Notamacropus eugenii: one gene and its partners. The main gene of each other region encodes a partner of the protein of the gene in region 3 in a complex. Links are inferred from orthologs where the notes say so. Each region holds a gene or a part of one and is shown on either strand. Other genes may lie near its edges.

Region 1 (7,095 bases), on a different chromosome or scaffold from region 3:
CACACACACTACATATTTTTCCTGAAGAGTTCAAAGTGAGCATGATCTCATCCATCTTTAGCACATCCCTAGAAACAGGTAAGGGAAAGTTTCCATTTCCTAGTTATAAAAAAAAAAATGATAATTATCAATGAACCACGAACTACATGGTATCAGAGTTAGCCTGAGCAGGTAGGTTCTCACTAAGCACCAATGGATAGAGCTCCAGATCTGCAGTCAGGAAGATCTGGGCTCAAATGCGCCCTTACAGACTTACCTGGGTAAGTAGCTTCACTTCTGACTTTCTCAGGAGAATGAGATAACACATATAAAATGCTTTGTATACTTCAAAGCAGCATATAAATGCTAGCTATTGTTATCCCCATTATACAGAGAAGGAAATTGAGACATAGAATCCAAAGCCACCAAACTAGTTAGGAACTGGGGTACTCTTGTTCTAAGCGTGTCCCTCCACTACTAAGTTCGGTGCTCTTTCTTCTACCAGGAATGTTAATAAGAGTAAAATGAGATAGAGTTGTAAAGTGCTTTGCAAACTTTACTATGTAAATACAAAATATTTATATTAATACTAGATCTATATGATTTTTATATAAATTTTAATAAAATTTATATAAATACTAAATACATATTATTGTTATTATCATTTTTGCTCTAAAATGTATCAGGTAACTTAAAATCCCCACTAACGATGAGAGTAAGATGTTGAGAATCAGCTATCTTTAATGAAGATTGGTGCATTTGAGGGGAGACAACCAGCTGTGCTTCAAAATGCCCATTAAAATGGTAGTTGTAGTCAGTCTCCTACATGGATGGGAAATAAATCCATTCACATCATGCATTTATTTACCAGTGCTGCAGGGTCCCCATGAGGCAGTGTGTCATAGTCAAGTGAGGACTAGCCTCAGAATCAGAAAGACTTGAGTTCAAGTTCTGTCTCTGATACATCCTGTGTCATGATGGGCAAGTTACTTAAACTCTCAATGCCTCCTGGCAAATCTCTCTAAAGACTGTAAATTACAGATGAGCTGCTAATTTGCATTGGAGCAAGGGGTTTCCACATCAAGAGGTTTCCCCTATGAGTGAAACTGAGGTGCTGACACTGAGTACAAACCCTAGCAGGTCCTAGCAGGCTGAGAATGTTTTAGGTTGTCGTTCAACTCTTCGTGACTCCATTTGGCTTTTTCTCCGCAAAGATACTAGAATAGTTTGCCATTTCCCTCTCTAGCTCATTTCTCAGATGATAAAACTGAGGCAAATAGGGGTTAAGTGACTTACCCAGGGTCACACAACTAGTAAGTGTCTAGGGCCTAATTTGAACTCAGGTGTTTCTGATTCCAGGCCCTGCCATTCTATCCACTTCACCACCTAGTACTAACCCCACAACAAACTAAAAGGCCATGAACCCAAGACCCATCTAAATAAGTTTGGTGAGGTTCATCAGCAACAACCATCCTTTGGCCAAGAGGTTGACCAAAGATGATTTTTTTCAGTCACAGAAACTCTAAGGCATAGGCAGTTTAGGATTTTTGCAAGGTAAAAATCTAACAAATCTCTTAAAAATCATATATTTGCAGAAAAATAACTGTGATAAAATGCTTACAATATTTAAATATTTCTAACAAATCTATATGCAAAATATCTCCTCTGAGGTTTTTGATAAGAAAAAATAGAAGCCTAGTAAAATGTGGCAAATTTCAGATTCCTGAGTGTGTGGTTCCTTTCATTTCAAATGCCACTAATTCAGAGAAACTGTCGATTTTCCTTATTACAATTTACTTGACAAGTCACATTCCAAAGAGTAAAAGAACATTATTTACCCAGTGATCAGAGGTAAAATATGAAAATGACCTTGAGGACAAAATACATGGGGAGTGGGCAAAGAGGGAGCAGCCAGTAAAGAGAGAAAAGTAAAGATACAAATGTAGCTGCTTAACTATCCACCAGTTAAAACACTCTTTTAAGCAGGAGTGAGGGAGAGACCAGACGAAAATGAAACCACATAATAAATGAACCTTTGTTTTGCTTGTGTGTGAATATGAGAATGAAAAAAAATGGGGAAATATGAAAAGTTTAACAGTTCTAAAAAAGAAATATTTCAATAAAGTAGGAAAATACAGTTTAAATTTTTTTGTACTATTTTTAAAAGCAGCAACATGGCATAGTGAATAGTGGACTTATGATGGAGTCAGAAAAACCAGAATTCAAGTGCTGCCTGGCCATGGAAATGTGGACAAATCCCTAAATTTGTCAACTCCACCAGGCTTCTTTCAGACTAAAGTTACAGAGGAATTGACAATCTGTATCAGTTTTAAAAAAAAGCTTCTACAATAGGAGATCTCCAGATAGACAAAATCATAAATCCAAAACCTCGTCTCCCCAAGAAAGTATTTTAAAAAACTATTAAAAACTTAAATCTTCCTAGTGAACCTGAAGCAAAACCCTCAATTTAAGAAGACTCATTAACCCTTTCACATTTCTAAGGTACATGTTACCTGCTACCCTGCCCAGGATAGAGCCACCCAAAGAGTTAATTAATTAATGCATATGAGTTTTGGCTTCCTTCCCTCCAGAAGGTTATGCTCATTGAATATTCTCAGAATCACAAGGAAATATACATACATGTATGAAACTGTAATACTAGCTCCCAACCAAAGTATAATCAAATTAAAGCAAATACATATCACACACAGCTGGAGAGGAGCAGAGGGGAAAATGAGAGCTTATTAAAATGCTATAAAACAAAATGGCACATAATCTGATGTAATCAAAGTTAGTAACAAGGAAGAAAAGATTAACAAGAAAATAAGAACTTCAGTTTTCCACCAATGTTTAAGTCTGCACCGCACCCACTGAAATTGCTCCTCACCCAAAATGCAGGACCCTCGTAGTGCAAGTGAGAACTTTTACAGGAGCCATGGTATATGGAAGATGAAAACTCTCTGGCCTAGACTTCCTTGGCACTAAAATGCCTTGTCCCAATGAACTGCAAAGATTACCAGCTACACCACAACGACGATGAGAGATGAGGAGATTCTATCTCCAGTTGTCCAGGAACAGTAATCTAAGTTCTTTTGAAAGCTTGCCAAAAAGATGTTAACTATTTAAATACTAGATATTTTCCTTTAAAGTAAGTTAGATGAAACCGAGCATTGTGAAATTATAGGGAACAAGTTTGATCCAGAGTAGAAATGAAACAATGTACCTCCCTCCTTTCTTTGCAGAGGTGGGGGACTCTGGGTATGGAACGTTGCATTTACTGTTGATGCATTGGCTGGCTGTGCTGAATTGCTTTTTTCTTTTTTTTCTAATCTTTTTTACAAGGGATGACTCCCTGGGCGTGACAGGTGAAATCAGAAATAACTAAGGAAACAAAGGTTTGAGATTCTGAGAGTATTGATTTATTTAGCAACTCATTGTATTTGCCTAACAAATTGGGATCAGGCTTCTTCAGCTTGGCACTGAACCCCAAATACAGGGGGAAATAGATCATTATGCATTAAAAGAAAACAATTCATAGCATATAAACCAGGATATAAGATTAAGTAATCTGACTTCTAACTGGAGGAAAGATGACAGGATTTTCCAAGTTGTGAGGGGGGAAGAATGAGTTTTGGTCAGTTGGGAGAGGGTGAGCAGGTTTTGAGGTCTTTCCTTGGGAATTGGGAGATGCTGATTAATTGCATCTACCTTCATTTTATGAAACAATAGATGCCATCTATTTTCCCCTGAATGATTTGCAAAAGAACAAGATGGAGGATAATACATGTGGCAGCACAAGATGGGAGTCAGTGTTCATGAGAGAGAATCCGACTGGTTCTCTTAATCCTTACACCCAAACAACTCCATTTGTAACCAGCCTTCACTCTATTTGGTTAGGGTAGGGGCAAGGGAAGAAAGATATTCAGAAACAAAAGTGCTTTTAAAAAATATCAATAAAAATAAGAAAAAGGTAGGTCAGTTCACAACTGAAATTATGAGGCAGCAGAAAGAACACTGGCCTTGGGATCATGAGATCTGGGTTTGAATCTTACCTCAGAAACTAGGTGTGTGATTCTCAGCAAGTCATTTAACCTCTGAGCCTCCGTTTCTTTCTGTGTAAAATGGGGATGATCACATTTGCACTACCTACCCCAAAGTATTATTGAGAGGAATGAGCTTCATAAACCTTAAATTGTTATAGACATATAAGCTACCTATAGAAATATTAGCAATCTAATAGAAAGAGCACTAGATCGGAAGTTAGAAGACCTGGATTCTAGTCCTGTTTACTTATCTCAAAGGCAAGTGACTTATCTTTCAAGATCTATTTCCTCATCTCTCTGTGGTGTGAGTGAGATGGACTAGTTAATCTCAAAAGGTCTTTCCAAGCTTACACCGATAATCCTATGATTAGATGATTTCTGATAGTTTTGACAGTCCAGGACTCTATGTTTTTATTCAAAACAAAAAACTTTTGGGGGCAGGAATAGGGGTGGAGGAGGGGAAGGAATGAAGGAAGATTTCCAGTAAGTATTCCTCTGCAGTATTGATAATGTACTTCCAACAGAAAAATCCAAAAGCAGAGGAAGCAGAAAATGAATTTGCTTAAAGTGAAAAATAAAATTGTAAAGTACTTATAGATTATGAATTTGATCTTGACTAAACATAACCCCCTTATTTTACACTTGGGGAATCCAAGGCTTGCAGAGATGTAATGCCTTTTTTTAAAGGGTCATAGACTACTTAACTGCATAGCCAAGACCAAGTCAACAGCATCTATTAAGCACCTACTATGTGCCAAGAGGGCAGCTAGGTGGTGCGGTGGATAAACCACTGGACTTGGAATCAGAAGAGTCATCTTTCTGAGTACAAATCTGGTCTCAGACACTTACTAGGTGTGTGACCCTGGACAAGTCACTTAACCCTGCTTGTCTCAATTTCCTCCTCTGTAAAATGAGTTAGAGAAGGAAATGATGAACCACTCCAGTATCTCTGCCAAGAAAACCTCAGATGGGATCACAAAGAATTGGACATGGCTGAAATGACTCAGCAGCAACACAACAATATGCCAGGCACTGTGCTAAAAGCTGAGGATTCAAAGAAGGACAAAATGGTCCTTGCCCTCAAGGAAAGCGTAGTCTAATGGGGAAGATAACATGCAAACAATTCAAGTAACTATGTACAATAAAGATATTTCTAGGATAAATTGGAGATAATTTCATGGAGAAGGCCCTAGAATTAAGGGGAAATCAGGAAAGGCTTCTTACAGAAGATAGGACTTTATCTGAGACTTGAAGGAACCAAGAGGCTGAGATGAGGAGGGGGAGAATGCCAGGCATAGGAGACAGGAAGGAAAAATGCCCAGGCAGGACATGGGGCTTCTTGTGCAAGGAACAAGAGGCCAGTGTCACTGAAGAGTATTTCTAGGGGAGGAAGATATAAGAAGATTGGAAAGGGAGGAAAGGGCAGGGTTATGAAGGGCTTTGAAAGTCAAGCAAAGGATTTTATATTTGATGACAGAATTAACGGGGAGCCACTGGAGTTTATTAAACAGGGGAGTGACATGGTCAGCTCAGCACTTCAGGAAGATGTCTTTGATAGCTGAGTGGAGGATGGACTGGTTTGCAAGGCAATGTTGTTTCCAGCTCACTCTAGCACTACAAGTTATGTAATTCGGTATCTTACAATAAACAGAATGAAAAAGTCAAACAAATGTCATTTCTACTGAAAAGTTATTAGGCTTTAAATGTTGCTGTTCAGTCATGTCTGACTCTTCATGACCCCATTTGGGATTTTCTTGGCAAAGACATAGGAGTGGCTTGCCATTTCCTTGTCTAGCTCATTTAAAAATGAGGAAACTGAGGCAAACAGAATTAAATGACTGACCCAGGGTCACATAGTTAATAAGTGTCTAAGGTCCTATTTGAACTCAGGAAGATGAGTCTTCCTGACTCCAGGCCAGTGCTCTATTCTCTATTCCACTTAGTTGCCTAAGGGTTTTAAGTACTTTTTATTTTGATAACATATAATATTACTAGTAACAAATGTGACAAAGGGGGAAGAACTGTATTTTTCAATGTCATCTTTACATGAATAATACTCTAAGTAAATAAATAGTAGAGATTTTCTAGAAGCCACAAGCCTATGAAAAATTGGAGATGACTGCAACAATCTGACATCCAACACTCCAGTCTACTGATATCTCCAGGGAATTCTCTTGGTAAACAGGCCGAGCTGGAAGAGATTCTAAAATAAAAGTTTGAAGTCTCTTTCATAATATTAATGACAGCAGAAGTGCTTTAAGTCTCCTTGGTAAATCTGAGTAGTGTGTCTAAACAAGGCAATTAGCCAAAACCTTCACTAAGTTAGCCACTTTCCCTCAGAGAAAAAATATAAGCATCTCTTCCTCAGCTGTGGAAAACTTATTAAACCAAGAAAAATCTGTCCCCAACATGATATCTCCACAATAGTAAATATACTTCTCCACGAAAAAAACTGATATGACATCTGCATAGAAACATCAGGGACATTAGGAAGCCGTAAAATCACTCCTCACATAGCAAAGAGATGGAGTTCCACAGGTGAGGTCAGATATGGATCACTACCATCTATCAGCTTTCTGTCCATCTCTGTCCAAACAAAACAGTCTGAGTTACCTGGGAATGATATAAGATGTGAGTTGGAAGAAGCTGACACCCATGAAAATGAAATGTTCTCATCAAGGACCAACTTTAGGCTACTCAAGCTGTGATCAGAAAACAAGGAAGAGCCAGAAAAAATTGCTGAGTTCCCTTTATCTCTCAGGGAGAGACAGAATAAGAGAAAAGCAAGGCTGTCTGGGAAGAGTAGTTTTTCAATGACCCTGATCAGTCCAACCTTCCCTCCCTGGTTACACTGAAATTTAGGAGTCTAAAGGAAAACTCGTTGTTGCATTGGAAGTGAGGAAAAAAGATTTTACAGCTTTAAGAATGGGGTTCTCATTTAAAAAACACCGACAAAAGTTCTCCAAATGCCTAATGAGGATTGACTGTAATATAACAAAAATTCTAAAACAGCAAAGATGGCCCAGAATTTAAATCAATTGGATTGCTCCAAACCTAGACACAACAGCACCTG
Region 2 (7,321 bases), on a different chromosome or scaffold from region 3:
GGTTGGGGGTGGGGGTAGGGATGAATTAGTGTGAGAAGGGAACTTCTACTTCTCTTAGTCCTGCTAGTCTGCTGTTCTTGGGCATCTTAGCTGTTCAGGCCCTTTCAGCTAGCTGTTCCTCCAAGTGGAGTCAGGAGGGGTTAGGAGAAAATGCCAATACTTAGTCCTCTATTGTGGGAAGGGGTTTAGTTCCCTAATCTTGGAGGGCACTCACTCTACCGAATCAGGCCCAGACTCAGCTTGCTTCAGCAACCAACTACCTTCCTCACTTGGTGCTCCCAGTGTGCCCCCATGACTCCCCTTTTTGTGGCCAGCCCAGGGGATACGCGGTGAGCACTGCTGTCTTGCACAGGAAGAAGGCAGGTATGTTGTATTGTTCGAACATTAGCTCTGTGAGTTTTTCTCTTTTGGCTCGAGTGTTCCACTATGGGAGGGAGGGGAGAGAGGATAAGGAGGGGTTTAGGTTGGATATAAATAAGCTAACAAGCACACACACACAGGCTTATGTACTAATATGCACACATACGCATGTACCCAAATGAACATGTTCATAAACACTCACACTTAGAGTGCAGAGAGGCTAGGGACCAGGCCAACTAACACAATGCAAAATGATCTTTACTATCAAACCTCCTCCCTACCCCCAGTGAATGAATACTATCCCCATTCAGAGAGATATGGGAGAGGGGTGTATAAATGTGAAAATGAGGAACACTTGTGGAGAGGGTAGGGAGAGAAATGATAATTGGAGGAAAGGGGAGATAGGGTTCAGTTTTGATGAAGATTTTGAGGGGGAGAGAGATGGGGTGGCTAATTGAGATCCCAAGGCTGGGGTCAAATGTAGAAATAAGGTGATTGATGAAGGATTCTAGGGTAGGCTGGTTAAGATAGAGGACAAACTCCAGAGGCAAGGGGACCCAGAGCTGGGAGTACGTACCGGGGCCTCAGACATGAGTACAGGGTGCAGATTTGGCTCCGATTTGACATGTTTGCTGTAAGTGTGATCCAGAATGGCCCGGAAACACTCCCAGTCCTCAACTGGGCACCAGGAGGGGAGGAGGAGACAGAGGGATGGGAGAGGAAGGGTGGTGAGAGAGGAAGAGACAGATATGTGGGGAAGGGAAACAGAGAGAAGAGGGAGACAGGATGATAGTGAAGAGAGGAAAATCAGGAAGAGGAACACAGAAGAAGTTTCAGAGAGAAGGGAGAAAAGGATAGAGAAAAAGAAAGATATAGAAAGAAATACAGAGAGAAAGAGTGAGAGACAGGCAGACAGATGTTTCAGGGGAAGACAGTAAATGAAATGAAGAAAGAAATAAAGACAGGAGTATATGTCAGGGTGTGTGAGAAAAAGAAAGAGACAAACACGTGTAGGCAGGAGAGGTGAGGACAGGAGGGAAGAGAAAAATGGGGTGGGGGTAGACCTGAGTAGAAAAGTCAGACCCCTTTCCCTACTCTAGGGACCTAGGAAGTGAGTATGGTTGAAGCTGAGGGAGGGGAGGCAGAGAGGACATAAGAGAAACTGGGTAGCCCTGGGACCTGGTGAGGGGAGGTCCTGATCAGTTTTGGAACAACTGGCTGTGTCTGGGGTGGGGGTTGGTGAGGGGCATACTGTGGTCATAATGAATGGGACAGGGGCAAGGGCTGCAGCAGTAGTGTTCCCAGGAATGGATATTGGGGTTTCCCTTACTCATGCCATTCTTGAGGGGTGACATGACCTCAGCCCCATCCCGTGGCACATGCAGGGCATTGGTGTCGATGTGGAATGTTTTCCCCTTCTTCTCCTTCTCTCCATCCAGCTCTAGCCCACCCCCCTCCTCCAGCGTCAGCAACCCTACAGTAGTGGGGAAGTCAGCCTAGGGGGAGGAAGGGAGAGCAGATTACAGTCACCTTTTCTTTTCTCCACATTACTTTATATCCCCAAACAACCCCATCCCAATTACCACATGCCTTTGTTCTTGCCAAACCCATCCCCTTCCCAGGGCTCACATCACTATTCTACTGAACCCATATTAACACTTTCCCAAACTATCAGGAGCCTTCTTTTAACTCCTTCAGGGTGTTTATGTATGAAGGAAGGGGGTGGGTTCTGGGAACCAAGAGGGAGAGAAGTAGGACCGATGTAGACTTTAGGAAAGTTGGGAAGGGGAGCTGGAAGGCTCACCTTGGGGCAGTCCTCCCCAGCATACCCTGCTCGAACTGAGAAGGAACCTATGTCAAAAACCAGGGCTCCAACTTCATCTGTGTGTGTGTCCAAGGGGAGAGAGGAGGAGGGGGAGGAGATTGCAAGTCAGAGCAGAGGGGCTTTCCCTCCCTCAAACCCCACCTCAGAAGACCCAGAGAGAGATGAAGTCGGGGTGTGGAGACTCTCCCCCCTCCCATAAACTCCACCTAAGGGAGACCAGGTGGACATGAGGTCAGAGGGGAGGGAGGAGTCTTCTCCACAAGCCAAAACTCAGATGGGCATTTTGGCCATGGGATCATTTATGGGATCTGAGGGAACAGTAGGAACATAGACACGTTAGGGAGATTTGTGGAATGCTGGACATGGAGGGGGCAATTATATATGCAGAGGTGGGGAGGTGGGAGCTCCTAGCATCCACAAGATCTGAGGTTCTGGGTTGGGGTGAGGGACTGCCTGAGAGAAGAGTATAACAGCCTGTCAGTGAGCTGCTAATAAGGGAGCAGCAGGAGCGCTGAGGGCCTTAAGGAAGGTGAGGAACGCTTGACGAATGCTGGCCATGGGACATTTGCCCTGCAGGTATAAACCAGCTAGGAGCTACCAGGAATGGAGGACTGGGGCTGCAGGAACTGGACCCCCCAGGCTAGGGGTGCGGTGTGAAATGACCTGGCTTGAAGGCCGGGGTCTCGGGGCTATCTCACCTCCTCCGTAGACACCTCCGCTCATGGTGGCTGCTTCCACTCCGGCTCCAGTTCCTGCGGTGGTTCCAGGCCGAGGACCCAAAGCTGCAGCAGCGGGATCAGCACCGAGATAGCCGGACAGCTCCAGGGACCCAGGAGGTGGGGAGAGGGTGCTTAAGGACCGGCCAATCAGAATACCGGATCCCCCACCCCCACTCACGCTTTCAATTGGTGGGGAGCGCAGACAATAACCTAGGCCGGCGCCTCGGTCTTAAAGGGCCAAGTGCCTCCAGGAATTTCTGAAGGGGAGGGGGAGGGGATAAGAGGGTCGAGGCGGGGGTGGGCTATGAAAAAGGGAGAGGAAGGTGGGAAAGCCCCTCTATCCTGAGATCTAGGCCCCGAGGTGAGAGTGGCGTGTGTGGTCTTTGTCCTAGGCTAGGTCTCCTGGAGGACTGAGCCTGGAGTCTAACGAGCCAACGTGGTCCTAAGACAGGCTCAGGAGAAAACGAAGGCCACAGGGTGAGAGAGAACGCCCGGAAACTGAGAAGGAAAAGAGAGAGGGAGAGAAGGGAGGAATCAGCGTGGAAGGATGGAAGAATCTTCTCTTTCTCTGTATTTAACCTTTAACTTGGTGACTCAACCTTTTGTGTGTGTCTCAGAATGATGTTTTTAAATGCATAAAACACATAGAATTACAAAGGAAACCAGTTTTATTAAAATAGTGTGCATATATATGTGTGTGTATATATATGTATATGGATGTGAGCATAAACACATACTATATATGTGTGTGTGTGTATTATATGTATATGTATATGTGTGTGAGCATACATACAAAATTCAGAGACTCCAAGGCCAAGAATTCCTGCAACTGAATTCAGGTCTGTTCCTCTTTTTGGTTTGGGCTTTTTTGAGCCTTTTCGAAACTATGAAGATCTCTCCTTGTTTGGCTCAGGAGATGATTTATAAAGTGAAAATCAAGTGGATAGCTCAAGTGATTCATCTTAGAATCTTGATTTGGCTCCTCACTCTCCACTCCTCAAAGCACACTGAATTTGGTGCGGATGCTGGAGCACTGGAGGTGGTGTTTCAATAAGAAACCTATAGAAAGAAAATTTTAGGGGATTTAGGGGAAATATGTCTTTAAATATTTGAAGATTTGTCATGTAGAATAGGGATTAGACATATTCTTGGACTCAAAGGACTTTAAAGATCTAGAGCTAAAAGTGACCTTAAAAGTCATTGAGTCCAACCATCTCATTTTGAAGATGCTGAAAGTTCAGTGACTTGCACAGTGTGATAAAGTTGGTGAGTGAGGTGTGCAGTTCCATCCTGGGTTTTCCTAACTGCAAGTCCACTCCTCTCTTTTCTACTCTATGGGAGCAATAGGAAGGGGGAGGCAGGGAGAAAAGAAAAAGACAGACACAGAAATACAGAGAGAGAAGCACAGGTATATTTTATCTAAGTATAAATGAGACACTAGCTTCAATAACTCCTTCAGTAGAAACCCCAATAATGTTACTGGATTAAAAGGCAATGGAATCTTGTGAGTGACAGTTGAATAAGCAGTGTCTTAGGAGATTTAGAGTTTAACTGTTCTGTAGGAGACTTAAGAGTTTAACTGTTCTGGAGAAGCTGTTAACTGTGTTGAATGAAGAAATGACAAAAGAAAACATTTCTTGAGAGAGCTAAATTTAATCCTTCTAAAAAATAAAAAATATTTTAATTGGCCACTAGGTAGCGCAGTGGCGCTGGGCTTGGAGTCAAGACCTGAGTTCAAATGCAACCTCAGGCATTTATTAGCTGTCTGACCCTGGGCAAATCACTTAACCTCTATTGGCCTCAGTTTCCACACCTATCAAATGAAAATAACTCTTTTTTGAAAGGTTGTCATGAGGATCAAATGAGATACTATTTATAAAGAGCTTAGTGCTAGTCGCCTGGCACATACTTGGCATTTAGTATTTGTTTTCTACCTTTCTAACTAATCTGGATCTAGAGATAGTTGCAAATTGGGATTATCATCCTAAAACTGAGAAGTATGCAGCTGTAGAGATCCTCAAAGACGAATTGGAATATGAACTTTTTGACAGCTGACAGTTTAAATATTTGTATCTTTGTTTTACTGTTTTGTACCCTGTTAAAATAACCAGCAACCTCAATGTTAAGCCTAGGTAGGGAGGAGAGATAAAATAAATAAAAAATAAGCAACAATCATGGAAAATGGGTTTCTTAAGTTTATTCAAAAAGGAAAAAAATAATTTTTTTTAACAATTAGAGCTACTAATCACTAGAGTTCATCAGACAAAGACTGAATGACCATTTGTTGAATACACTGTAGAGGGAATTTCTGTTCAGGATAAGGGTTGACTAATTTACGTCTAAGAGACTGGGATTCTAGAATGAGTCTGCTGTCAGCAAAGAATTATATGGGTATATCGAATTTATTATAGGTTCTTGGGGATTTTTTTTTAAAGAGATAGAAGGTAAAAGGAGGAAAGAGAGAATGGGATTAGATTGGATGTTCTAAGGTCCCTTCCAGGTGATGTCTTATTGACTTTAGGCAGTTTTCTCTTTTAAAATATACGCTGTGTGTGAAGTGAGATTATTTTGTTCTTTTTATTAGTATACATTTCTTTAGCTAGCCAAATTTATGTTAAATAATTTTTTAAAATTTATTTATAGTGTCTAGCTCAGAGCCTGGTACATTCTAAGGATAGAGCCTGGACCAATGATTTTATTTGTAGAGAGTTCCAGGGTGAGGGGATTCTTCAGTCAATGCAGGTTGGTACCTTCTTTGCAATTTATAGTCTTGGAGAGTTGCCTAGAGTGGTGTGAAACTCAAAATAGAAATCATATATAAGGATCTTTGCAGGGTGCATACTGACTTAGAAAACTACATATTAATATAATTTATGTTCTATTGTATTTTTATTTATTTTGATATTTCCCAAGTACAGTTTAATTTGGCATGGGGTCAGTCCTGCATTGCAGGGTCATATGTGACTGGCAAACTCCAAGTTTGATATTTCTGGTCCAGAGTCAGTTAAGAGAAGTCAGGACTGAACCCAGGTCTTCCTGATTTTGAGGCTGGCTCTTTCTCCACTATGCCACACTGCTCATAAAAGGCACTTAATAAATGCTTCCTGAGTTTGTTTCCTAGGCCCTGGTACATGCATTTTTATATGTGTAGCTGTGTATTCACTTAAACTGGCAGGACTTGTCCATGAGGAGGAATTAGGCAGAATTTGTTCATTCAATATTCATTACATAAATATTTCTCAAATACCTAGCCTATTTTGTGCCACGAATTGCTGGTGATACCAAAACAAAAGAATGAAACTATCTCCTGGACCTCAAGGAGTTTACATTCTATTGGGAGAAAATAGCATGTACCAAAAAAAAAAAAAAATACAAAAAATATATGTAAATTTGAGGTTCATGGATTTACTCAATCAAGCCTCCTCACCTTATAATAAGGTATGCCCTGATGCCTTAATGAGGTAAGAATAAGTTTCAAAGGAGGAACCCATCTGTCCTTGAATACTAAGTGTTCAGATAGTCCTTACACTATCCTCAGACAAATTATCAATTGCGTTGAGAACTGGCACTATTCCAGAGATTGGAGCAAGTGTGACTTTCAGTAACACTTCCTAAGAAGAAACTGCTTGGGGCGGGGAAAGTTACAAAAGGTTTCCAATCTTACTTTGGCCTAAGTCTCTCCTTCCTCCTTAAAAAATATGGAGAATCAAGAGGATTTGGACCTTCCCATCTCCCTGTCATCATTCAAGTCAAGCAAAAACTGGACAAATATTCACTTTGCTATGGAAGAACTTGTTGAGCACCACATGAAAGGGAAAAAGATCTTCCAACAATCAAGAGCCATAACTTACCACTTTGCCACATGTGCTAAACTTGGGCCAATTCACCCCTGGTGTCTCCCACCAGTTTGTCAGACTGAGGTGGGGGTGGGGGAAGAGGATGCTTTGTACCAACTCTCCTTATGGTACTACCTTACTGAATACCCTCTCTGAAAACTACCACATAATCATGATAAGAACACACCAGAATGAGGCTTGGTACCAACAGCATTAAGGAAAGGTGTTCTCCAACCCCTCAGTGGTACCTCTAGAACCAGGTAAGGATTTAGGAACCATTTGCTGAGGACCTGGCTAGTTAGGACAAGAAGGCACTGGGCACCTTTTTTGGGGGAGGGGAGGTTACATATACCAAGTTCTTTCCTAGTAGTGCTAGTAAAGGGGTAAGGGAGTATGGTAGGGGATCAGGAAGACTATAAGGAAAAGTCCTTGAGGTGAGCTTTAAAGGAAGCTAGAATTCTCAAAGACAGAGGTGCAGAGGGAGAACATTCCAGGTAAGGGGGATTATAGGCATATAGGAGATGGGGAGAAAGAACATCACATACTGGGAAAAGCAGACAAGCAGTTTGCCTGGAATGTAG
Region 3 (7,876 bases):
GGGGAGAAAGGGTTGGCAGTTTACATTCATATTACAAAACACTTTCAGAGTCATTATATCCTTTCATTCTCACAATGCCCCTGTGAGGTAAGGAGGAATATTTTGTAGATGAAAGATTTGGTGATTCTTTTAAGGTCACATAACAAAAGCTTATGAAAACTGGAGCTATAATCCAGGTCTCCTAACTCCTCGTATAGTACCCTTTTCACTTTTCATACTGCCTCTGTGGTTGTTTATACATAACTCATAAAAAAGTCTACCTTTGGGGCAGGGATTCCCAACCTTTTTTGTATCATGGACCCCTTTGGCAGTCTGGAACCCTTTCTCGGATTTTTTAAAAATTCATTAAATAAAGGGAAAGCTAAATGTGGTAGAAATTAGTGAAAATTAAAATGTAACTTTTTTCTCATCCAGGTTCATAGACCCCTTGAAATCTACCTACCAACTCCTTGAGGTCTCTGGATCTTAGCTTAAGAACTATTTTAGGGACATAACTAGCCCAGCAGAGCCAGGACTAGACATGCACAAAATTATGGCAGAATGCATCTGCCCATTCCAAGTACCCTGTGTCCAAAATCTGCCCTTAGGTCCTTCCTACTCCTCCTTTACAGGGTTCCAAGCTAGAAAATTTACCTTTTGCTAAGCTCCCATCAAAATTTACAAGAGAGCTCCATACTATGAGGGTCCAGCACTTTGTGGGCATAATCTCCTCAACCAATTTGAGCTACAGTATCAACGGCTGATAATAGCCTTTTGTTTTAACTTTTTTCTTAACTGACCTTCAGTGCCTTATTCCTGAAAAATTAGTAAGGTGGGAACTTCGGGAATTGTGGTAGACCAGGTAAGAGAAATATTTAGGGCAGGGGAGCTTTCTTTATCAATGGGCATATTACCTTACCTTAAGCAAAGATGTTTAAGCCTAAAAAGAGCCCAGCAGCTGAATAATCTGGCTGACACAGCCAAGGCAGTCATAACCCATTGATTGAGAGATCTTCCTGGACTACTCTGGCAGTAGCAGTCCAATATCAGGGTATCTTGTTGGCCATGTCCAGCGCTACCTGCCCAGCAGGAGAGTAGCCTTCCTGGCCCAGTCTAGCAATATCCCAGTGGCTGAGTAGTCTGTCTGGTCCATTCCAGTAACATCCAAGTCCAGTGAAGAGCCACTTCAGTAGCTGAGTGAACTGTTTGATCCAGCTTAGCAACATATTGACCCCTTTCCTATGAGGAGCAAGACCAATTGAGCTGTATATCTAACTGAGCTACCTTGCTTTTCGAAAAGCCAGTCCAGTTAACCCGCTAAGCAGGGAAGGAGCTTATCCATCACCAACTTAACACTCAGCAGTGACCTTCTTAAGAGCCCTTTATAGAAAGGAAATAGATCAAAACTTTACAAAGTTGTGAGTTGTCTTAGTCATGTGTTTCTTACATACATACCTCATTACCACTGCATTTTAAGTTTTCAGCCATTATTCTCTCCCCACCTTGTCATAGACTCTGTTTATATCTGTGGGAGAATAGGCCCCATGTTTCCCAGGGGAAATGTTTAGTAACTTCTGTTCTTGCTATACCGTTTGAGTAAATGCCTTTAATGAGAACTGAGTCTTATGGCTTATTAATGGGAAGCACTCTGGTGGGGGCTTGAGAGTTATGGTGTTACAGTTTAAGAATAGTCACCCAAAACACTACCCCTAGAACTATGACAAGAGTAGCAGCCACTCTTTGGGGATCTAAACTGCCAGTGCCTGTGTGGACTAGGGGAATGAACCTGGAAGGGGATATTATGTCATACATCCTCTTTAGAAAATATACCCAAAGCACTAAAAGTATTTCTCTGATGCTTTTAATATTTCCTGCATAGCAGTGCAGCAGTGCAGCAATGAAGCTGGTCATCTGTTATCCCTTGATTTTACTCTATAACCAGCCCTTTTCTGGTCACATATATCTTCAACTAAATTATTTTATATATCTCTCCTGTGCAAGACATAATTACTAATGTGCCAAGCTTCAGTTCACAATATTTAGATACTCAAAATGTGGCTGTGTTATTTATTCCTACCTCTTCTTTCTTTTGTGGCTTAACATAGCCTTGGAGAATTTCTGGCAAATGAAGATGTGGCATTTCTGGGCCTCAGTTTCCTTACCTGTGAAATGAGGAGTTGAACTAGCTCTAACTCTATGCTTTCATGCTCATTTGAAAGGAATGGGTTTTTTTTTAACATGGATATGGTAAAGAGATAAAATGCTCTTTACTTACCAGTTTAATAAGGACTATAGATACAGAAAGGTAGATTGCATCTCTATATAAGAAGTCATTTCCTAATTAGAGCTGTTTGAAAGTAGAATGGACTGCTGTGTGATGTAATGAACTCTGTTAATGAATGTGTTAAAGCAGGAGCAGAAGGACCTTCTGTTAGAAATGTTGTAGAGAGGAGTCACACCTTGAGTGGAAAGTTGAACTAAGTAAACTCTAAGGTCATTAGTATGCTGGTAGTATATCTAATCCAAGTCGATTGACAAACATTAATCATCTGCTATGCGCCAGGCACAGTGAGTACTGATCCAAGGAGAACAGGATAATTCCTGGCACAAAATAAGAGATTCTGTACGAGGAAGGAGGCAATTCGGATCAGATAACTTCTGACACGTATTCCAATTCTTAGATTCTATGATGCTATGTATTGAAAATATCTCATTCTAAGAATGTAATGAAAGGACCTTGAAGAAAACCCTTACAAATGCCTGGTTGGATAAGGTCACTGTGGCACACCTGGGAAATTCGTCCAATCTGTTAACCTGAGCAGGGTAGGCTAGATTAAGGGGAGCCCAGCCTGTGGATGTAAATGAGCTTAATTCCTAGACCAAGGAGATAGGCAACCTTTGGTAACAGGAACAGGAAACGGTAGGGTCACACCCCATTCCAGGGAAGGGAAGACTAGGTTGAGAACCTTAGAACCAGGCAGGTTTAGGTCAGGATGGAGAGTCATTTTCCTTCAGGCAACTGATGAAATGAAAATGATGAAGGAAAATTAAAAGGTAGTTTATCGGATGGACAAGAACTCAAGGCAAGAGTCAGCCAAGAGACTCTGGGAGTTCTCTAGTATGAATTGAACCAAGCCCTCTCAGAGTTCAAAAAAAACAATTTATTTCCTTGCATTTGTATTTTTTTTTAACAGTTTACAAATCACTTTCACATGCATTCTTCTCTGATCTTCATAACAACTTAGTAAGGTATTACAGTATCAGAGAATGTTTGAAGAGGACTTAGAATGTGCCTGCTCTTACTGTAAATTTTTATTCTTGTCCCCATTTTACAGATGAGGCAACTGTAGCTTCAAGAGATTCAGTGATTTACCCAAGATCCTATGGCCAAGAGCCAAGGACTCCAACTCGTCATTTGCTGTTTCTATTTGTATAGGGAGAGAAGTAGGGCAAAGATTTAGAAACAATTTTGTAACTAAGGAACAGATAAAGCTGTTTCATTCTAATTGCAGTAGATTCCCCTCCTCCCCCTTTGTTTCTTTTAATAAGCGCCTTTAAAAATCATCACTGTTTATGGGTGGTCTGTGTGTGGTCTCCCAAGGACACTGGAAAATGGAAAAGTCTGTAGGCATCGCACATTTAGGAGAGAAGAAAATGAGACAGCCCAGCTTCAGAAAAGGAGAAGGGTACCCTTCTCAGGACAAAAAGGGCAGTAGTTGTAAAAATTCTCACTGTGCTCCTGCTGAAGGTAGGAGGCCATGCAATTCTGGGTCAGAGAACCAGAAACAACTTTGCAATTAGAAGGAAGGGAGAGAAGATGGAGCTGATAGCAGCTGTTGGTGCAATTTACAGTTGTGCCACATGCCTGTCTGCATGGGGTCCTCACCAGCACTGGCTACCCAGTTTACTCTTTAACTCCCCTAGGAGATGGGTACCTAGCACAAGAATTATTTCCCCCATTTTGTAGAGGAGGAAACAAGCTTGGAGAGGTGATTGACTTGCATGGAATCAAGTGCTTTGAAAATCTCTACGCTCTCGATTCATAGAAAATTAGAATTGGAAAGTTACCTCCAGAGATCATCTGGACAACCTCTTGTCTGTAGAAATGTAAGAGTAGCCATTCCATAGAGCATGATAGGTGGCCAGGGCTCAGGCTTATGTGCTCCTTAGGACAGCTACTGTCACATAGGCAAGGAAACCGAGGCACAGAAAAGAGAAATGAATTACTTAATACAGTTTCCTGCCGGCAGCTCCATCATTGTGGGATGCCGCCTTCACCTCCTACTCATAAGGTCAGCCCCATTCCCAGCTGTCTGGGGCCCTGTCTTCTTCGTAGATGGGTTCCTGAAATAATATAATCCACTAAATAATTTCAGGATGCCCAGGTCAGCTCACTGACCCCACAGAGACCTGGCTTCTTTTGGTTGATAAGTCAACACAGACACCAGGCCCAGGAGGTGGACGGGGGTGATTAGACCCTTGCTAGAATCCCAACCCTAAAGTCCTGCCCCAAAGGTGGACTTTCCTTCCTCCAGACGTATTTCTAAATGACGAACTGCGGGTGACTTGGGGGCTGTAAATCCGCCAGTGTGCATGCCCGTGTCAGAGTGGGTCTATGTCTAGGTGGGTGTTGGTCTGGGGGCTGACCCCTGTGTGACTGTCTGCAAATGGACATGTGTGGATCAGTGCGAGCGTGCATCAAAATGGACTTGGGCAGGGGCTCCTGAAGATCGCGCGGTGCCCCATGCATTGGGAGGAACGAGATGGGGGGGCTCCCCTCCGCAGCTCACCGCTCCCTGCTCCGATCCCTAACTCGCCGCACGCTCCACGCTCTTTTCAGACGCTCCCTGCGCCTCCCCCGCTCCGGGGTTGCAGCGGCGCAGGCGCCCGGGCTGGCCGAGCCCGAGCCCAAGCACCAAGCCGGGGAGAGGGGCCGGGGCCAGAGCGCGGGGCTGGGAGTCCCGGGGCCAGAACCGGAGCAGCTCCGGGAGCAGGTGAGCCACCTGGGCGGCCCGGGCCCTGCAGCCCCCCTGCTTGGCAGCCCCCACTCCCAACTGGCGTCTCCCCTGCCTCCCCTCTCTGCCTGTCACCCTCCCTCCCCTCCCCCCGGCATTTCCCCCCGCCTTTCCCGACCTGGCATCTCCTCATCTCCCCCTTCCCTCCCGGACTGGCATCGCCTTCCCTTCTGGCATCACCCCCTCCCCTTCCTGCCTGCATCTACCCCTCCCCTCCCGGACTGGCATCTCCCTCCTGGCACAGCCCCTCCCCTCCTTGCCTGGCATCTTCTCATCTCCCTCTCTCCTCCCAGACTGGTATCTCCCTCCTGGCACATACGCACCCCTGGCATCTCCTCCTTCATTCTTCCACCCCTGTATCATTCTCCCCCAATTTGCATCCCCTTAGCCCCTCTTCATGGCATCCTTCTTGTCCTGAACGGGGCATCCTCTTCCTTTCTGACACACTCCACCCCCACTTGACATCTCTCTCCCCCCATTCTCCTCCTCCCCCTCAGTCTTGAAAAGGCTCCTTTCCCTATTGAAAATACCTCTCTTTTTCCTTTTACAGCTTGGGCACACTCCCAACATTCTCTTTCTCTGGTATACCTTATCTTTGACCCCTTAAGCCCTTTCCTATTTGCCCATTCTGTTCACTCCCCACCTAATATATCCCCCTCAACACCCTAGCTTCTTAACATCACCTAGCCTGTTCTTTCTGTCTGTCTGTCTGTCGGTCTCCCTGTCTCTCTCTGTCTCTCTCTGTCTCTCTCTCTGTCTCTGTCTGTCTGTCTCTCTCTCACACACATACACACAGACACAGACACACACACGAGCATACACATATATCCTACCCATCCACAGGTATTCTTCCCCTGATAACACCCCTCTGCTTGCCTTCCCTACCTGTCATGACTACTCCATGATCTAGAATGTCCATATAGACACACCTCTGGCACTGACTCCTATGCCTGACCCCCTCTATAGAGCATCCTCTCCTCTTACACTCAGCCATGAAGATTAGCCTAGGACCCCAGAAGCAAGCCTGTTAGACTATTGAGAATTTCACTTAAAAAATAGATAGATTCTTAGAATTTAGAAGCTAGAAAGTATCTTAGAAACCATTTAGTTCAACCCCTTCATGTTAGAGATAAGAGACTGAAGCCAGAATTACTTCTCTAACGTCACAAAGGTCTTAACAGTTAAAATCGTACCGCAGGTCCTCTTTTCACTACCCCATATTGTTTATTTTCCACCAGGGCAAGGCTAACTCCTTAAGACTGCGGCTTTTTTTGTCACCAGATGTGAATGTAAACCTGAGATGCAAAGTAGGGGAGGGAGGGTAAGGGCAAGAAGTAGCATTTAATCTGTCCAGGTGTGACTGGGAAGATTGTGGAGATCTGTCTCCAAAGAGCCAAGCTGGAAGCTATGACCAACTTTCACTGTGGTTATGTGGACAGTGAGCTTAACAGGGGACTTTCAAGACTGAGAAATTAGCGTCTTATAAACCTGGCTTCTTTCAGTAGGACTGTCCCCGGTACTGCCCTTCTCCTCTGCTCCATCACCACTAAGCTACCTGTACAGATTGAGGCTTAGATTTACAGATTCCCCCCTGACCTGGCCCCATCAATTTCCCCTGCACTGGTTCTGCCCCGCCCCCTCTTTGCACTGCTTCTTTCTCCATCCTTCCTGCACTGGCCCTGCCTCTGCCTCTTGCTCCCTCCCCCCCCTCCCCACCCCGCTCTATGTCTAAGTCCCTCCTGCACAGCAGCCTCTGTTCCCATCCTCCCTGCATTGGCTCCTTCCCTCCCTTCCACTTCCTTTGCTTCTGTTCTCCCTTTACTGGCTCTTCCCCCCTCCCCTCCTCCCCCTCTACACTGCCTCTGCCTTTGTCCACCTCTTGGACTGCCTCTGTCCCTAGTTCTGCACCTCCCCCCCAACCCTGTACTCCCTTTGGCCCTGCCTGTCTTCACCCTGTCCCTCACTGGCTCTGCCCCGGGCTTTCCTGCACTGGCCTGGCCTCTCTGTCTGACCCTGTCCTTTCTGTGCTGTCCCCTTTACCTTGATTGATTTACCTGACTCCATCCTCCCTGCACAGGCCCCGATTCTGCATCTCTCCCCCCTCCCCCCGTACCCTGTACTTAGGATGCCTCTTACCCCATTCCCCTTCATGTCCCTCCTGCAGACCTTGTCTGTCTCTCCCTGCCTCTGTACTTGCTCTGTCTCCTTGCTCTCTCCTCATTCGTCACCTTCCCCCACTGCCCCTGACTCTTCCTCTGCCTCAGTGTCTCCTGTTCTGGCTCTGCCTCCATCCCCCATGAATTGTCTCAGCTTCTGCCTCCGTCCCCCTTACAATGGCTCCATCTCCCTTTCAGTGCTTCTACCTCTGTCCTCTCCTTTCATGACCCTTCTCTTACCCGCTGTGGGGGCACAGCCTCCAAAATTCCGGTAGTATCTACCTCTTGGGGCTTTGGTGATGCTCTGCATGGATGTAGATTTGTATGAGATTAGTTATTATTAACATGATCATTGTTGTCATTATCATTCCAGTACTGCCTATCTTCAACAACGGAACCTTACATGCCTCTTAAGCATGTGAATGCCCCAGTGCCCAATTCAGCCCCTGTGTTTGTCCTGCCAAGACTTAAGCTAATATCAGTTTTGGAACCTTGTGCTTCTTGGATATTATTCCAACTTGTGACCTTTTATTGTGATGCCTACTCCCCCTCGGGCACCTCTGGCCTGCCTGCTGCCTTAGACTGACACCAGGAGTCATTACCCCTGTCTGCCAGCCCCATTCCCTGCTTCCTTTTCTTGCCGTCCTTTCTTCTCTCTGTGACCTGCTTCCTTCCCTCTCTCATATCCTACTTTTTACTCTTCTTCCCCCTGTCCATCTCCATTCA
Region 4 (7,510 bases), on a different chromosome or scaffold from region 3:
TCAGCAGATAAGAGAATCTGGCTCTATGGGCGGCCCGGGGAGAAGCTGGGCTCAGGCCTGGGAGGGGAAGGGGGAGGGGGAGCAGGGGAGCAGGGGGAACCGGGCCCCAGCTACCTTCCCCTTGGCTTTGCTCTTTCGGCGAGGAATGTCGTCTTCCAGGTCCTCCACCTCAAGTTCATGGGGAAATTCTAACATCTGTTGCTTCTGGGCAGGAGGAAACACAAGTTTTCAGGGAAGGGATGCTTGCTGAGGCTTTAGGAGTGGGCAGCAGCATCAGGGATGGTGGAAGAGAGACCTCTAGCTGGGGCTGCCCCCGAGTTGGGTCTCCAAGGAGGGCAAGGGGCAAGAAAAGGACTCTGTTAGAGTGAGGGGGTGGGGAGGGAACCTTCCACACCAAAAAAAAACCCAACTCAGGGTGAGAATATAGGATAGAGAAGGCGCTGCAAGGCTGAAGGAACTAGGGGAAGGGGATTGATGTAGGAAGGCTGGGGAGGACAGAGAGGAGGGGACAAAGACTCAGAGGCACTCGAGTCTTAATTTCGAGAAGAGAGCCCCTGGGAGTGTGGAGACCTCTGAGACTGAAGGGTAGGCTAGGGATGCCAATTCCTTACAGATGTGGGGAGTCAAGGGAGTTTTTGGAGCAGGAGACAGACATGAGTGACACTCCCAAGTGTCATCTCAGGAGGATGGTCAGGGTGGCCTTCCTCATATGTGCTGGAGGGGAGAATGTGGCTATTCCAAAAGAAGTCTGGAGGAGGGATAGGGGCAGGGCTGGAGGGCAGGCCCCCCACCCCACCCCACCTGACAGTCCATGATGGTTTCTTCTTCCTTTAGTTCTATCTTCTTCTCTCCTGTCTCTGCACACAGTAGGGCCTCCAGGACTGGCCCTTCAGGGAGACCCCCTTCCTTCTTTAGGGGTGTTTCACAGTCTGAGGGAAGGGTGGAAAACAGGGAGGGTCAAAGAAATGTTGTTTGCCAAGGACCCCCTTCTGTCTCCTCTCTTTCTCTATCTTCTCCCTCTTCCTTTTCTCTCTCCTCTTTCTCCATCTCTTTCTCCCTCTCCCTTTCTCCCTCCTCCCTGTCTTTCTCTCACCCTCCTCTTTTCTTCCTCTGCCTCCCACCCTCTCACACACACATACACACATCTACCCAACCCCCAACCCACCCCATGGAGTCTCTCTAGACAGTATGACCTGAGTCCTGACCTAAAACACTGGGGCACTTTCTGAGATGCTCACAGCAGTGCATACTAAGTCTGGAACTAAGGCAGACATGCTCCCATGGGCCACCCCTTAGGGACATACTCTCAGAGACTCACTGAGGCCCTCAATTCTGAGTTCTCATACACTCAGTTGCCATCAGCCACACGGAGACACCATCACAAGCATGGCTTTGCACAGAGTACACATGTTTGCCGAATGCTTTCTCAGCATGTAGATTTCACCCTGCCAGACACCACACAGACACACAATCACACAGATACACATACAACCATGACACAAGCACCGAGACACACAATCATACACACAACCACACATAATCACACAGACACAATCACAGATACAATCACATACAACCACAGGCACAGACACAGCCATACACACATAACCACACAGATACACAATCACAAACTACCACAAGTCACACAATCACAACCACACACAGACACACAATCACAAATGCAACCACATTTGCACAACAGCTTCCATCTAGCTCTTGGAGATGTTTTACATACATTCTCTCATTGGAGCACCTCAAAATAACCTGTGGGGTACATGCTGTTTTACAACTGAGGAACTTGACTTGCCCAAGATCTCACCACAATTGTCTGAGGCAGGATCTGAATCCAGATCTTCCTGATTCCAACACTTTTAAGTCATTCTGATTCTTAGTCACAGTCAGGTGATAGGTTACCACACAGATAAAAGGGAACTCAGAGTACTTGAGTTCAAAACCTACCTCCCTCGGTGGCAAGGTCCCTAGGTCCCTGTCAGTCTCATTCTACGCTGTCTCTGACATCAATAACAATTTGCGCCCCGGGTGCCTCCCCCCCCCCAGACTCAATACCACCAACACAGGCCCCGGGGGCCGCACACGCTCAGACACAGGCTCAGGTGCTCACGCTGGGCCACGCTCACACTGGGGGCAGGGGCTGGGCTGGGGGCCCCCCACGGACCGATCTTGTACTCGCAGGGTCGCAGCCTGGGGTCCTCCAAGATGTTCAGTCTTCGCTTCTTCCTCCAGCAGCGGGCCGGATAGGTGTAGATCTGTCCAGGGGCCAGTCCTGGAGAGGAGAGGGGCAAAGGTGGGGAGACTGTTGAGGCATCTGCCCCCCTCCCCTTCCCCTTTCCTCCTCCCTCTCCCCATCCCTCCCAATCAGGCGCCGCCGCTTTCCTCACCGGGCCCGCGGTGGGTCTTCTCCATCCAGATGTAGCAGTTGTTTTGGGCCACCCCGGTCTGCGAGTCGAGGAAGGGCAAGCGCATGCTCCGCTCGGCGCACAGGCGCGCGTTGTAGCTGCGGCAGTGCTCGATGGCCTCGCGGTAGAAATCCTCGCCCAGGCTGCGGGGAGGCAAAGCAAGCAGGGTCAGCCGAGCAGACGCCTCTGGGTCTGAGCCTGGAGCCCTCGAACCTCTGGGAATGCCCCGGGACTTCGGGGGACGCCGGAACACCTGGGTCCGGCTCGAATGTTCGGGTGGACCCTGGGCCTCAGTTGGGTTGGGTTTAGGGAAGGCGCTGGGACACTGTGGCCCAGTCACTGGAGGGTCTGGGAGTCACTGAAACGTGGGAAGTACCGAAATCTCCGGGTCCAGAGTTTCTGGAGAAAGCTGGAACTTGGGGAGGGTGCTGGAACGTAGTGGGGGGAGGGGGGACTGAAAAGCAGGAGGTGCCAGAGAGTAGGCGCTGAAAAGCAGGGGCTTGGGCCTAGAACATCTGAATTGTGCTGGTGTGCGGGGAAGTGTCCTGGAACGTCGTGGTAGCCCTCAAACTTTGGGGAGTAGCTGGCATATTTGGATGGGAAAAAAAAGAGGAGGAGCTAAAGTCTGGGATGCCGCCGGGGCGGATGTTCAGTGGGCGGAGAGAGGGGTAGAGCCCTTCCCTCCCCTAACCAGGCTCAGACAGCTTGACCCTCTCTCCCCCGCGGCTGAGCGCTAGGTGGTGCCCACGCCCGCAGGCATCCCCGGCAGCGCGAATGTCCCGGGGTGGGGGTGGAGGGGGAGTGAGCGCCAGCACAGTCCCTCCCCCCACTTTAGTTCTTCTACAACGCCCCCCACAACACCATACACCCATATATTATACACCAGGTAGACTACCTCTACACTCCTTGGTGTACTACCCGGAGGACACAAAACCAGATACAGTTACCGCCCTCCCCCCACCCTAGCCTCACTTCCCCCCTCCCCCAGGTATGTCGAAATGGAAGGGATTTTGCAGATCAGCTAATCCGATCCCTTTGTCTACACAATCCCAAATACGGGTCAAGGGGGTCACCAAATTACACACTGACAGCAAAAGAAGACAATTCCTCTCCTTTGGAACGGAGACAGGTAGCGGAGGAATTCGCATCCCCATTAGACAGATGAGGACACTGAGGCTCCCCGAATGACAACCACACCAAAGGCCTTGTACACAGTAGGTGGTCGATAGGCGTTTGTGGAGTTGTTTTGGAATATAGATTAATACAATGCCACTTGAAGATTCACGGAAGACCAAACCACTGATAACACAATCCAAGACGAATGCACAAATCTCCGTTACACACACAGCAACACGAGACAAGCACACAATTACAGGAGACACAATCACAATTCCCCCCTACACACACACACACACACACACACACACACACAAAATCCCACTCCGAGACACACGCTCTGCAACCCCCGCCCTGTGGGATGGGATGGGGCGGAGGTGCCGGGCTCACCACCGGACTGGGCTGGGGTTGACCGTGGCCATCTTGCACCTGGCCCGACCCTCGCCCGGGTCACCTCAGAGCTTCGGGGTCTGCAGCGCCCTGGCCCTGGCGGCCACTCCATTCATTCTCAGGGTGGGGGTGGGGGCGGGGACATCAACCAACATGGGGGGGGAGAGGGACTCCCCGGGGCATGCTGGGAAATGTAGTGCGGGGGTGGCGGGGCGGAAGGTGGAGGAGGGGGTCGGTGCTGTCACTAGAGGCCAAATCTAGGTCTGGCCCCGGGAAGGAGAGGCCCTGGCAGCTCGTGGGGGAAGGGGACAGAGTGGTGTGAGGCCTGGGCCAGGTGAAAATCCGGAGACAGACTCCTATTTTGGCACTAACGTGGGCACTATGTGTAGTTAGACCGTGTGTGAACCACATATACCTTTACTTACACCCAGGTTCGGCTACCACACACAATCCACAAGTACACAACACGCAGTAAACACATAATACAGAAGCATACAACACAATTATGCTGATACAACTCTACACCACAAATTGACACCCAGATCACACTGACAACAGGCATACGCACTGGGATACAGAGACAACTGGACCCCACACACACGCACACCCGGAAAGGCCTCCTGATTCACATGCACAGACCCCCCCACACAATCACAGTCTCACACAGGAGCTTACAAGCAGCCGGGGCGCGCACAGACCCGCAGAGCGCGCACACAGGCCACACGTGCTGGCGCGTGCACGGTGGCCCCCCCCACCCCCCCCTTTGGTCGCCCGGCCCCTAGCTTCCAGATCTCGCAGAGACAGAGATAGAAAAGACAGGGATCAGAGACTTCCAGGAAACCCAGCAACCCCCAACCCTCCTGCTGCTTGCCCTCAGTCTCACGCGGCCTCGCTCTGACCCTCACACCCCTTCAACCCCAAGGTCAAGGCCAAGCTCACGGGGTGGGCCAGGAAGGGGGGCTGTCCCGGGGCCCCTTTGTGCGCCTCCGCGTCCCCGACAACTCACGGGCACGCGCCACTCCCCAGCCTCCTCCCCCTCTGTCGGGCACGCGCCTGTCACTCCTGGGGGAGGAGCCTGTGGAGCCAGGGAAAGGGGCGCCCCCGCCCCGTTATACTGGAGGGTCCACAGTGGGGGGGGACCCAGGCGGTTGCGGCTCCCAGTTCCCTTCCCCAGCCTTGGAGGCTGGCAGGTTAACAAGTCCCAGAACCAGTGCCTAGGGTTGGCGGGGATGGTGAACCCCCCCCTCCCAGCCTCCAGCAGATCCACTTCCCTTCCCGCCCCCAGCCCGGACCTGGGGATCTGCAAATTCCTGCACTGAGGGTGGCGACAATAGAGACGGCTTGGAAGGTGGAGGGGGGACAGGTTCAGCTGCCAAACGTGCCCATCCCCCGCCCCCTCCCAATAATCCCCAGCTCCTATCAAACCCAAGGCTTGGGGGATGCGGGGGGGAGGCGGAGGGCGCCCAGGTGTCAGTGGCACCCATCAATCTCCGGGAAGGGAAATGGGGCAGACACAAGGCTCCAGGGCTCCTGTCCCCTCTCTGCCCGCCGTGCCCAGCCCCGTGCCCGGTGGGAGGAGGGAGGGAGGGAGGGAGGATGGGATGGAAGGGGAGACTCACGACTTGAGGGGGTTCTGGATGGCGGTGGCCATGGCCCGCTCCCCTCCCCCGGCGCCGTAGCCACTCGGCCCTCGGGACCCGGCTCCGGCCCCCCGGGGCCCCGCGCTCCGCTGGCCGTGCCCGACCCCCGCCGCTGCTGCCGCTGCCACCGCCGCCGCCGCCGCCGCCGCCGCCGCCGCCGCCGCCTCCTCCTCCTGCTCCTGCTCCGCCGCCCAGCGCGCTACAATTTCATTCATTCTTCGGCTGCGGTGAGGGGAGGGGCGGGGCCGGGGGGCGGGGCCGCGACCAAGGAGGAGGGGGGAGGGGATCAGGGACTGAAGGGGGGCACGGGGGAGGGGGAAAGGGGTGGGCTGGGTCTGCCAATCCTCACACCTCCCGGGGGACGTTGGGAGATGGAGTCCTCTCAAACACCCGGGTGGGGAGGGGGCCAACCTGGGAGAACTCCAAATCCCGACTGCCCTGCGGGTTGCCCACTCCCCCAGGGCGCCGATTGGGCAGCCGAGGTACCGGGCGGGGAGTGCCGAAGGAGGCCGGAGCATCCTTTCCCTGGAGCTCTCCGTCAGGCACAACGTCCCCCTTCCGGCCAAGTCAGGCTACGTGGGGTAGAGGGAATGTATGGGAATCCTGTATCCCCAAGACCTATCCCCAGGAAACCCAGCTCTATAGGCATCCCCGCTCTGAGTTTATCACCCATACCTTATCCCCTAGTTCCTCCTTTCTGAAATTTCCTCCCAGCAGAGCAGCGGCCCGTGCCCGGGGCAGAGATTCAGCCCAGTGGAATGGAAGGGAGTGAAGAGCGCTGAGTTTGAAAGCAGAAGCCCTGGTTTGGAATTTCATCTCGGTTACTTACTCCCTGTGTGATCCTGGACACATTCTTTCTCTTCTCCCCCCCCCCCCCCCCATCAGTTCCCTCATCTGTAAAATGAAAGGGGTTTGAGTATCTAGATAATTCCTGATCTACTTGGAGATCATACCCCTCCTTCCCCCATACCTTGCTCCCTTAGGGAACACTCCAGAACCCAAAACTAAGTTGTGGGACTCACACTAAAGGGATGGAGAAGGTCCCCTAAGGTGAGAGTGGAAGCATGCCCCTGGGCCTGCCTCGAAACTGAACATCCTTAGCCTTTCTCAGACTTCAGGGCTTGTAACAGAATAGACCTCCGGCAGGGGGCGGTCCTGGGAGCTGTCCTCAGTACTGAATCGTCCGAAGCCTTGGAAGAATGACATAACCCTGAACATCTGAGCTGGTAAAGAGTACTTAAGGACCACCTATTCCAACACCTATTCCCCTGCCTAGTTCTCCAATTAAAGAGGGGGAATCGAAGTCCGGAGAGGGAAAACTTGATGCAGTAATAAGCCAAGACGAACTCCAAACTCCAAACCCTGGACTCTTTTCATTCCATCCCGAATCCTTTGCCAGGGAAAGTCTGGAGTCCCCAGGAGGGATTGAGGGAGGAAAAATGAGACAAATTCCCCCACACTGGCATTTGCACTGAGTTTAGTGGGACATCTGAGTCTATGGAGCCCAACTCTGTCAGTGGATTGATGAGGAAAGTGAACCCCACAGAGATCTTTGCCCAAAATCACAGGTTGAAGTAGGTCTCCTGAGACCTCAACCTTGGGCTCCTTGCTACATTAGATTTTCTAAGTGTGTTTCCATGTGCCTGTGTGTCTTTGTGTGTCCACCTCCTCAACCTATATGTGGATTTTTCATCTTAACCTTATATTCTCTCTAGATTCCCAAGGAGTTTAAGAAAGCCCCTTGGCCTGCTGCAGTGCCCAGAGGTCTCCCTCTCCAGAAGAATCCCAGAATTTTTTAGTTGTCAGGAAACTCAGAGTCCATCCTGATTCTGAGTTATCCCTAAACAAGCCACTCCTCTACATATCTAACCAGTGGTCATCGAGTTTTTGTTTGAAGACAGAGTTCAAGTCTTTACTCTTCAAGTCTTTAACTCTTTGTTACTTATT

What was found.
Region 1: SMARCD3 (region 3) and DPF3 share a complex: the UniProt entries of both Homo sapiens proteins name them as parts of the BAF complex. The link is inferred for Notamacropus eugenii from reciprocal best matches to the Homo sapiens genes SMARCD3 and DPF3.
Region 2: SMARCD3 (region 3) and ACTL6B share a complex: the UniProt entries of both Homo sapiens proteins name them as parts of the BAF complex. The link is inferred for Notamacropus eugenii from reciprocal best matches to the Homo sapiens genes SMARCD3 and ACTL6B.
Region 4: SMARCD3 (region 3) and DPF1 share a complex: the UniProt entries of both Homo sapiens proteins name them as parts of the neuron-specific chromatin remodeling complex. The link is inferred for Notamacropus eugenii from reciprocal best matches to the Homo sapiens genes SMARCD3 and DPF1.

What each region holds. Positions count from the first base shown.
Region 1 is NC_092872.1:293,878,675-293,885,769, reverse strand, and holds the start of DPF3 (zinc finger protein DPF3), read right to left. Parts: upstream 3,019-7,095; 5' UTR 2,917-3,018; coding exon 2,867-2,916; intron 1-2,866. UniProt on the Homo sapiens protein: Belongs to the neuron-specific chromatin remodeling complex (nBAF complex).
Region 2 is NC_092873.1:80,136,143-80,143,463, reverse strand, and holds the start of ACTL6B (actin-like protein 6B), read right to left. Parts: upstream 3,018-7,321; 5' UTR 2,909-3,017; coding exon 2,884-2,908; intron 2,242-2,883; coding exon 2,165-2,241; intron 1,857-2,164; coding exon 1,691-1,856; intron 1,039-1,690; coding exon 938-1,038; intron 425-937; coding exon 327-424; intron 1-326. UniProt on the Homo sapiens protein: Involved in transcriptional activation and repression of select genes by chromatin remodeling (alteration of DNA-nucleosome topology).
Region 3 is NC_092874.1:94,746,199-94,754,074, forward strand, and holds the start of SMARCD3 (SWI/SNF-related matrix-associated actin-dependent regulator of chromatin subfamily D member 3), read left to right. Parts: upstream 1-4,874; 5' UTR 4,875-4,973; intron 4,974-7,876. UniProt on the Homo sapiens protein: Involved in transcriptional activation and repression of select genes by chromatin remodeling (alteration of DNA-nucleosome topology).
Region 4 is NC_092876.1:31,450,765-31,458,274, forward strand, and holds the start of DPF1 (zinc finger protein neuro-d4), read right to left. Parts: upstream 3,006-7,510; 5' UTR 2,794-3,005; intron 2,755-2,793; exon of another isoform or gene 2,561-2,754; 5' UTR 2,485-2,560; coding exon 2,400-2,484; intron 2,285-2,399; coding exon 2,123-2,284; intron 930-2,122; coding exon 802-929; intron 205-801; coding exon 115-204; intron 1-114. UniProt on the Homo sapiens protein: May have an important role in developing neurons by participating in regulation of cell survival, possibly as a neurospecific transcription factor. Belongs to the neuron-specific chromatin remodeling complex (nBAF complex).